Linked DNA regions of Rattus norvegicus. The protein of the gene in region 1 purifies or fractionates together with the protein of each later gene. This does not show direct contact. Links are inferred from orthologs where the notes say so. Each region holds a gene or a part of one and is shown in the gene's direction. Other genes may lie near its edges.

Region 1 (4,186 bases):
TCCACACAGTGAGAGGGAATTCTTGCAATAACAGTCGGCACTTTACTTTTACATGGTAAATATGTCCGTCCCTAAATAATATTTATAGACGATCTTTGATAAAATATTTTTCAGTTGCTTTTAGCTAACCTTTTAAGCAACAAGAGATTTGCTCGAGAAGAGGGTTTTATCTTGCTTTGCAAGAAGGCAAGATCATATCCATTTAAGGACACAGGAGCAGCTGCAGCCACACATTTTTCTTACCCACAGGAAAGAGAGGGAGGCTGAGTTTACTCTGCTATAAGCACTTTAAGAATTACACATAGGTTCTCTAAAACTAAACAGTGAAATTGAAAAAGTAGGATCCACACATGTGCTGATTTACATACATGTAATATAAAATCGGTGGAGCGTGAGAGGAGACAGCAGGACATGGTCGGCTCTGCAGCACGACCCAGTTCTCAAAGCCACTCTAGACCCACAAGTGCCATCTGACTTTCTAAAAAAAATTTTCTTACACTTCAGACAAAAACTTACTTACATTAGGTCAAAAACTTTCAGAAATACTCAACACTTAAATCTGAACACTTGGAAACCTGGTCAACACATCACTGCCATACAACTGACAGGAACCTGCAGCTATTTCTTTCTAGAAAAGGTGCTCTTGACACTGTATCAGCTTACTAAGAGTCTGTTTGCGTTCTGTGGTAACACAATGTAGCTATAAAAAAAAATCCTTAAATGTATAAGTTGCATCTTACTGCAGATAACACATGCCTAATGAAATATAGAATCATTCATAAGAACATTGGTTAAAATCTTAACTGCAGAGAATGTAAGTTAAATGTATTTGCTCCTTCTCTATAAATTTTTTCTTTTCAAAACTCAAATTATTATGCTAGTTTCCTCATACACATTCTCTCACCTATCCTAGACAGCAGTACCTAGAGAGATACAAAGCACAAATATAAATAGGACAGGGAAAGGCCTCGACTAGCACCCAAGAACACTCGCTGCTCTGACAGCAAGGCTCTGAGGGCAGCTCCACTACCCTGCCTTGTGGCGCCTGCAGCCTCCCTCCTGCGTTCCTTCACAGGATTTCAGCTCTTGCACTCAGCAGCAGGTGTGAGCCTCCCCAAGTCTGAAGGTGTGTGTAGCCACTGTAAAGCTGCGTTTCAGACGTACTTTATTCTCAGGGACCTGTCATTCACAGCTCTACATTAAAACTAGAGGTGAAGCACAACATGTTACCGACATGTCCAAACCTAAGGGTAAGTGCTAAGGTTTGCTGTGATAAGAGCATGGCTAACCAATCACAGGTTGGGATTCCTATGTGATGTCATAAGACCTCCCTAGAATGCTTTTTCTCCTCCACCTACTGCAACTGTTCCCATAAACCTAGGATAGAAAGCTGCGCAGCTGAGCTCCCAGACTTCACACAACTAAACAGTCTGCATTGTGACGATCACAGAAGCCAAGGTAAGGCACGGTATCACTGACTTTGGACATTCTTACTTTCTGTAATTCGATCTTACTAAACTTTTAAAAGAATTCTAACCCCTAAATTCCAAAAGCTACATAACAAAAGAATCTATGACAAAATGCTTACTTTCTAAATAAAATCTCACCCATTTACTGACAGTAAAATTAGACCACTTTAAAAGAGATCCTATTCAGCCTGTTTGGGCTACTTACATTTGGTTATTTTGGTTTTGCACATATGAACTCCCGATTTAAAAACCTCCCAATTATATTAGCATATATGTTGGTAGAGATAAATTAATTTTCATGCAAACGTAATGGTTTCCTTTGCTATGTGGCTCTGCTGGAACAATGCAGGATGAGGTCACTTATTTACCGCTGGGGGACACAGCTTATTCTCAGCTGTTCATAACTGTGGGGCATGCACACTGAGCGCACTTACTTGATGATATCATTGTAGCTCTTAAGGTGAGACAGTAAAAGAGATTTTAAAGAACAGAAAATGGAGACTACTTCTCAAATGCTCTTGATGACTGTTACTCTCTAAAAATTCCAGTCAACCTTTAAATACTTCTAGAACTTTCATTTTAATAAAGAGAATAGTTTGTTTCAGTTTGATTCTATAAAGAAAAAGTTAGATATTTTTAAAACAAACACATCTTTTTTAAATGACAGAAAAATAATTCAACATTTTTAAAAATAAAAAGGGCATTTTGGCATAGGAACATTTCTAAGGAAATTTGAATACATTCTAACATAGAGTACATTTATCACATTTTTACTCTCCATTGTTCCTAAGTTTCCTGCCATGAATTTAGAAGTAAAACAAAATATCCAGGAATGGAGATGCAACACTGTATTATTGCTATTTGTTACAAAGCTCAATTAAATAAAATGTTTTCTTACTCTTAAACCTATTAGATGACATAGAAAAAACTCACTTTTACTTTACTACTTACATTCCTATCATACATAAATGCTAAATAAAACTGACCTCTATAATTCTCAATTCCTGTAATTCTAACTCAAACACAGCTGTCTCCTACGCAGAACTCTTGTCGGGAAAACATCTCTAGTATGTGCTCTTAACTCCAAGGAACCCTAACCAGCCTCTCAATAAATTTGTAACCCTAAAAATATGTTTCCTTTGATATTGTACAAATGACACTTGGTGCCAAGTTTATCTGGCAAATTTCTGCATTTTTTTACCTTTTTATTTATCCATTTACTGTGGGGGGGGGCATACAATTGCACGTGTGTGAAGGTCAGAGGAGGGTTTGTAGGAGTCAGTTCTTTCCCCCCACACGTAGGCTTCAGGAACTGAGCTTGGGTCATCAGGCCTGGCAGCAAGTGAGCCGTCTCCCTGGTCCCTGTGTTTTACTGTAATGCCTATCAATAACATTCCCACACTAGAATGACGTGTACAAAAGTTTTTCAGTGGAGTAGGGGGTAGGTAATGAGTTTCTTCCCACCAGAATTCCCTTATATAAACAACTTCTAGAAAAAATATAAATTCTGCTATCAAAGCATCTTTAGCAGGTTAAGAGGATGGCATAATTAGTGCCTGTAGTTAAAATTTTCAATAGAAAGTACAGTGCCAGGTATGCTTGAACCATGTGTTCAAAACTAGCTTTATGGTGACATTGAAGTATTTTGTTTATAAAGGTACATGCTTTAAAAAAAAAGATAAAATCAATGAAGAAATGTAAAAAATATAAAAATTATGAAATATAATGGAAAAAATGAGAAAAATTGCTTTACCAAAAAGAGTCACATCAATGTCATTTCCTAAAGCAAATCAAAATTATTTTAACAATATATTAGTAAACATAAAGGAAAATTATTGTATTTGGGTCATACATTAATATTATTTCTTAATCTCACCAATTAAGACATAATATTTGCATTGGTTATATAATTTAAATTATATATTAAAACATTAAGTGAGAAGGATTATAGATCACCTCTATAAATTAGATAACGTAATTGTATTTATTCTAAAGAACAATTTCCTAAGTGCACACAAAAACTCCCTTTTACCTTAATTCTTGGTGTATTTGAATCTCTACATCATAATTTGGAAAACAGATTCTAAAACAAGTGAGGGCTATGAGGTTCACAGAGCTATCCCCAAATACAAGACCTTGAGGAAGAGGTCATTTGCACATCTAACCCCACGGTGACTAGCGAGGCTAAGATACACCATCATCCTCACAAGTGCTAAACACTACCAATGGTTACTTCAAGGAAAAATGAGGATGCAAACTTCTGCTAACTGAAAAGCATTCCTCCGTTTCATTTAAGAGCCATCAAGTGTTGTATCTGTACTACTCTATGATATTCTAAACATCATCTTCCAAGTCAGGCATAAAAAGTTACTGACGTCTTTAGTTTTCACGCAGTAAATTCTAGTCAGCAAAGGCAGACATTAAGATACTACAATCAGTCAAATTAAAATATCCAATTATTTAGCTTGCTTCACTGATAAAAATATACCTGCAATCCATTTAAACTTTTTATCTAAAAATCAGATTAATTTTCCCATAACTTTGTACAAAGGCTTCAATACTCTATTCCATCCCTACATTCCATCAATTTCATTTCTTACAATTTACAAACTATCCAAGGTCACTGTTTTCAAGGTTCCTGAATGAATTTTGCATTGCTATTTACACTATGAGAATAATTTTCATCTAATATAGGAATTCACACATTGATCAGAGCA
Region 2 (4,061 bases), on another chromosome or scaffold:
GAAGCTGACACCCAGGCCAGGCCTTCAGCAACAACTTGTGGCTTTGCACCCAGCCTCTGGGGCCCCGCCCACATGACTGCCACTGCCCGAACCCTGCTGTTTCTTTTCCCTCTTCTCCTCAGGCTTAGGAAGTCTGTGCTGTCTTTGCTGCTAACTCTGTCCTGTCCTCTTTCTTTATACCTATCTCCACCTTCCTCTCTCTGGAGCCTCTGCTTCATCTAGCTTCAGGGGTCCTGCCCTTGGTCCCTCACATGGGGCTGGCCCAGCTTCAGAGCATGCCTACCAGTCCTGATCCCCACTCCCTCTGTGGGCTGTTGCATCAGGGCCAGAGCTTCAGAGAACCCCACATCTCTGAGGGGTCACCATGAAGCCCTGGGGTTGAAGGCCAGTGTAGGGTGAGGAGATCCTTACTCCCCTGCCCCACCCTGAAACACTCATCCCTCCCCCTCTGCCATCAGCACATTCTGTAGCCTCTTGGGTTACCTGGCTGCCTGGGTGTCCCATTTTCTTCGGGGGGGATTCCCTGCCAGTTTCATGGGGGAGCTAAAGGCTGTGTTCCCAGAGGCTGAGCTAAAGCGGTAGTGGTGGGGGGAGTTCAGGAGAGACAGACAGTCCTGGCTTTGCTTACCAGGGCCTGGACACTAAATCCCTTGTTGATGGCTGCAGCAACCCCTCCCTAGGGTAAGGTTACCATCTGCACTGTCCCCTTGACCAGCTCCCTTCCCTAATTCCCTGTGTCTCTCTAGAGCTACTTCCTCTGTCCCCAAAGATGCTCTCCCCTTTACTTTGACCCCCCAAAGGCTTGGAATACTTCTTCTGTTAACTGAACATACTAGGCAGGGGAGGAGACTGTGACAGTGGAAAGGGGTTCAGGATGTCAAGATAAGGCTAAGGAGTGATGAGGCCTAAGGGCCAAGAGGGCTTACGGAAAGAGCTGCTCAGGGTGAGCTTGGAACGGAGCATTTAGTGTAATTGGGGAAGTTGAGGCAACTGGGGGTGGGGTCAGCAGCAGATAATAGAAAGTGACTTTACTCCCCCTCCCCTCTGGGGCCAGGGCCACCTTTGCGTCCCTTATGAGTGACACCTCAGGCTGCAGCCCCACTGTTCCTCTCTGTCAGCAGAAACCTCTCTCTCTCTTGACCCCTCCTGCTGGGGTCTCAGCCAGCCAATCCCTGACCTGGGGGAAGGGGGAGCCTGCCCCCCCACTCCCTCATAAGGACCAGCTGGGGGCTGGGGGGGTGGCCGGCTGCACAAGTAGGACTGGGGTCAGAACTTCGTGGAAAGGAGAAGAATCTGGGGGGGCAAGCAAGAAAAAGGAAGGAGCCCAGGTTAACAGGCAGGTGGATACACTGAAGAAGTCCCCCCACAAGTGAGAGGCCCCTAAGAAGGAATACATCACCCCCTGGCCCCCAAGAAGGGAGCAGAATGGAGGCCGCACACTCCAAGTCCACAGAGGAATGTTTGTCCTATTTTGGGGTGAGCGAGACCACAGGCCTTACCCCAGACCAAGTTAAGCGGCATCTGGAAAAATACGGCCCCAATGGTAAGTATCCCTCAGAGGAGAAGCTGGTATGGCTGCCTTCCTACCCCTACCAGTGGGAGCTGCTTCTTCCGGGTGTGTACGATCAAGTAGGGCAGTGGTCTGTTTTCCTGTAGGAGGAGGAGGATACTAAAGAAAAGTTCTAAAATCTGGAGTTTGGGGAGGTTCAATGTGACCTTGAGCCTCATGGGATGCCCTTTTGATTCCCTTATGTTAACCACAGAGTTTGGGGTGCTGGGGGACATGAAGCTGGGCCCCCACTGAATTTGTTCTTTTCTTCTTTTTTCCCTGGGTAGAGCTCCCTGCTGAGGAAGGTAAGTTACCCGGGGCCCTCCTGTGTGCCTCATTCCCAACTCCCTGCCTTCTCCTTACTGAGACCCATAGCCTTTACCCAAACGACAGAGGCCCTTTCTCAAAATTTAGTGTCAAAAGTCTCCAGACACTTTCCCTGAGGCCTCCTGCCCTGGAACAGTTGCCACAGATTTGAAGAGCCTTTTTGGCTGTTTCATCCCTTTCTCTCATGCCAAGCTGGGCTGCCCATCAACTTAGAGGACCAGGGCACTCTAGACTCTGGGCCCCAGCCCATCCAGAGCTGCAGACACTCATCGTTTGGACCTTAACCCCTGGAACTCCTCTTCTTGCCTCTCCCAGGCAAGTCTCTGTGGGAGTTGGTGGTAGAGCAGTTCGAAGACCTGCTGGTGCGGATTCTCCTCCTGGCTGCCTGCATTTCCTTTGTGAGTACTGTCTGAAGAATGACACGAGGCTTGGGGTCTGCCTGTGGCTCTTACCATCCTGGATGCCCTGGTCCAAACCCTAAACACCCTGTTTTCCACGCTGGAGCTGGGGGTGGGGTGCTGATTTGCTTCCTCCCCAGCAGAGAGGTTTTATTTTAAGCCTTGAGAGTGTTCTCAGCCAAAACACTGAAGCTAAGCCACCCTCCCAGCTTCAAGGGCTTCAAGAGCTCAGGTTACCCCCCCTAAGCATAGGGCTCCGGCTTCAATAAGGGCTGCCATGTCTACTGTGGGGCCATCATCACTCCCTGCCTGTCCTGGTTGCTCCCTACTCTGCTTCATCAATCCTGCCCTGCCCTCTCCAGCTTGTGATGCTGATTGACTAAAAAAAGAAAGACCTGCTTAGAGGAGTGGAGAATGTGCTTTGGTACAAGGGCGACTGCCAGTGTGGTCTCCAGACCTTCTAACCTTCCACACCCCACCCCTCAACTGTCTCCAGGCTCTACCACATCCTACTTCCATTAGGCCTGGAGCTTCGTGCCTACTTCTCTTTATCCAGCCTTATTCATCCTTACCTCTTGGTGTCTCCCGTTCCCTCAGAGCCTCAGGCTACCCCATCCCCTTGTTTCAGCTCCAGTATTCATAGCCCACGCTGCTGGCTGCTTGTCACCCTTCATTCCAGCAGTCCATCTTGCATTTTAGAAGTTCTTTAGCATCCTAGTTGGAAAATAAGACCTAGGAGAGAAAACAAAAACAAGAACCAAACAAACAAACAAAACCAATACTGTGTAGGCCCCGTGCGCTCCTGGGCCTAAGCTGGCAGAGCTCCCTTCTCTCTCCTCAGATTTGCTCCTTGACATTTGCCTGTGGCTGCTGTCTGGCAGTCGTAACAGCTGGGGTGGGGTGGGTGCAGGAGGCCTGTAACCCTACCTCCCTCCTGTTCTCTCATGAAATCGGAGCTTCCATGCCTTGGTGGTAAGGGAGGGCTGTGGGTGGGCTGGGCCCTTCCAGAACCGTAGGGATTTTCCTATTGGGCTTGGGTCCTGTGGGATGGTTGTGGCTGTAGGGTTGGTTGACCCTGGGTGTCCCCAGAGGTTTGCTTACAAGCCAACAATTTGCTCAGGGAAACCCGAAAGCTGTCCCAGGTAATCCCCAAGTGTGTGTGGCTGCATCACCAATCTGCACAAAATCACAAGGATGGCTGGGTCTGTGTGCTTGGGGCCCTGTGGCAAAGGGAAGAGCCTCATGTTTAAGTGGGGCTTCAGCATGCCACAGGCCCCTTAGCTCTTGTCCACCATCTGACTTCTGCAGCCACCTTCAAAAACCTTCCAATTCCTTTTGTCATTTAGGGGCTTTGTTATCATCCGTTTATTCTCCCTCCCCCTCTCAGGTGCTGGCCTGGTTTGAGGAAGGTGAGGAAACTGTCACTGCCTTTGTGGAGCCTTTTGTCATTCTCTTGATCCTCATTGCCAACGCCATTGTGGGGGTTTGGCAGGTTAGTTTTGACCCCTCCTCCCACCTCCTGTCTCAACACTGAGCAAGGGGCCACATTTCCTTCCAGCCTCCTCCAATATTCCCCTGGCCTTGCCCACTCTTCTGGTCTTCTCATCCTGCTTGGGAATGGTAGAGGGTGTTGGAAAGAGCCGAGGGATCATTTGCTTACATGTGACCACGTCCCTAAGCCTGTTTCCTCACTTGTGAAACAAGGCTAGTAAGCTAAGGGTAGTGGCACAGCCCTGCAGCACCCCAGAGGCAGAGGCAGGGGTCTCTTTACTTCTAGGCTAGCGGGG

Evidence for each region. The genes of interacting proteins can lie anywhere in the genome.
Region 2: the proteins of Pln (region 1) and Atp2a1 purify together in Homo sapiens (affinity purification with western blotting, with the first as the bait; 3 studies listed by BioGRID). This does not show direct contact. The link is inferred for Rattus norvegicus from reciprocal best matches to the Homo sapiens genes PLN and ATP2A1.

Annotation. Positions count from the first base shown.
Region 1 is NC_086038.1:33,171,108-33,175,293, forward strand, and holds the start of Pln (cardiac phospholamban), read left to right. Parts: upstream 1-1,386; 5' UTR 1,387-1,458; intron 1,459-4,186. UniProt on the Homo sapiens protein: Reversibly inhibits the activity of ATP2A2/SERCA2 in cardiac sarcoplasmic reticulum by decreasing the apparent affinity of the ATPase for Ca(2+).
Region 2 is NC_086019.1:190,472,611-190,476,671, reverse strand, and holds the start of Atp2a1 (sarcoplasmic/endoplasmic reticulum calcium ATPase 1), read left to right. Parts: upstream 1-1,261; 5' UTR 1,262-1,425; coding exon 1,426-1,543; intron 1,544-1,836; coding exon 1,837-1,854; intron 1,855-2,191; coding exon 2,192-2,274; intron 2,275-3,661; coding exon 3,662-3,766; intron 3,767-4,061. UniProt on the Homo sapiens protein: Key regulator of striated muscle performance by acting as the major Ca(2+) ATPase responsible for the reuptake of cytosolic Ca(2+) into the sarcoplasmic reticulum.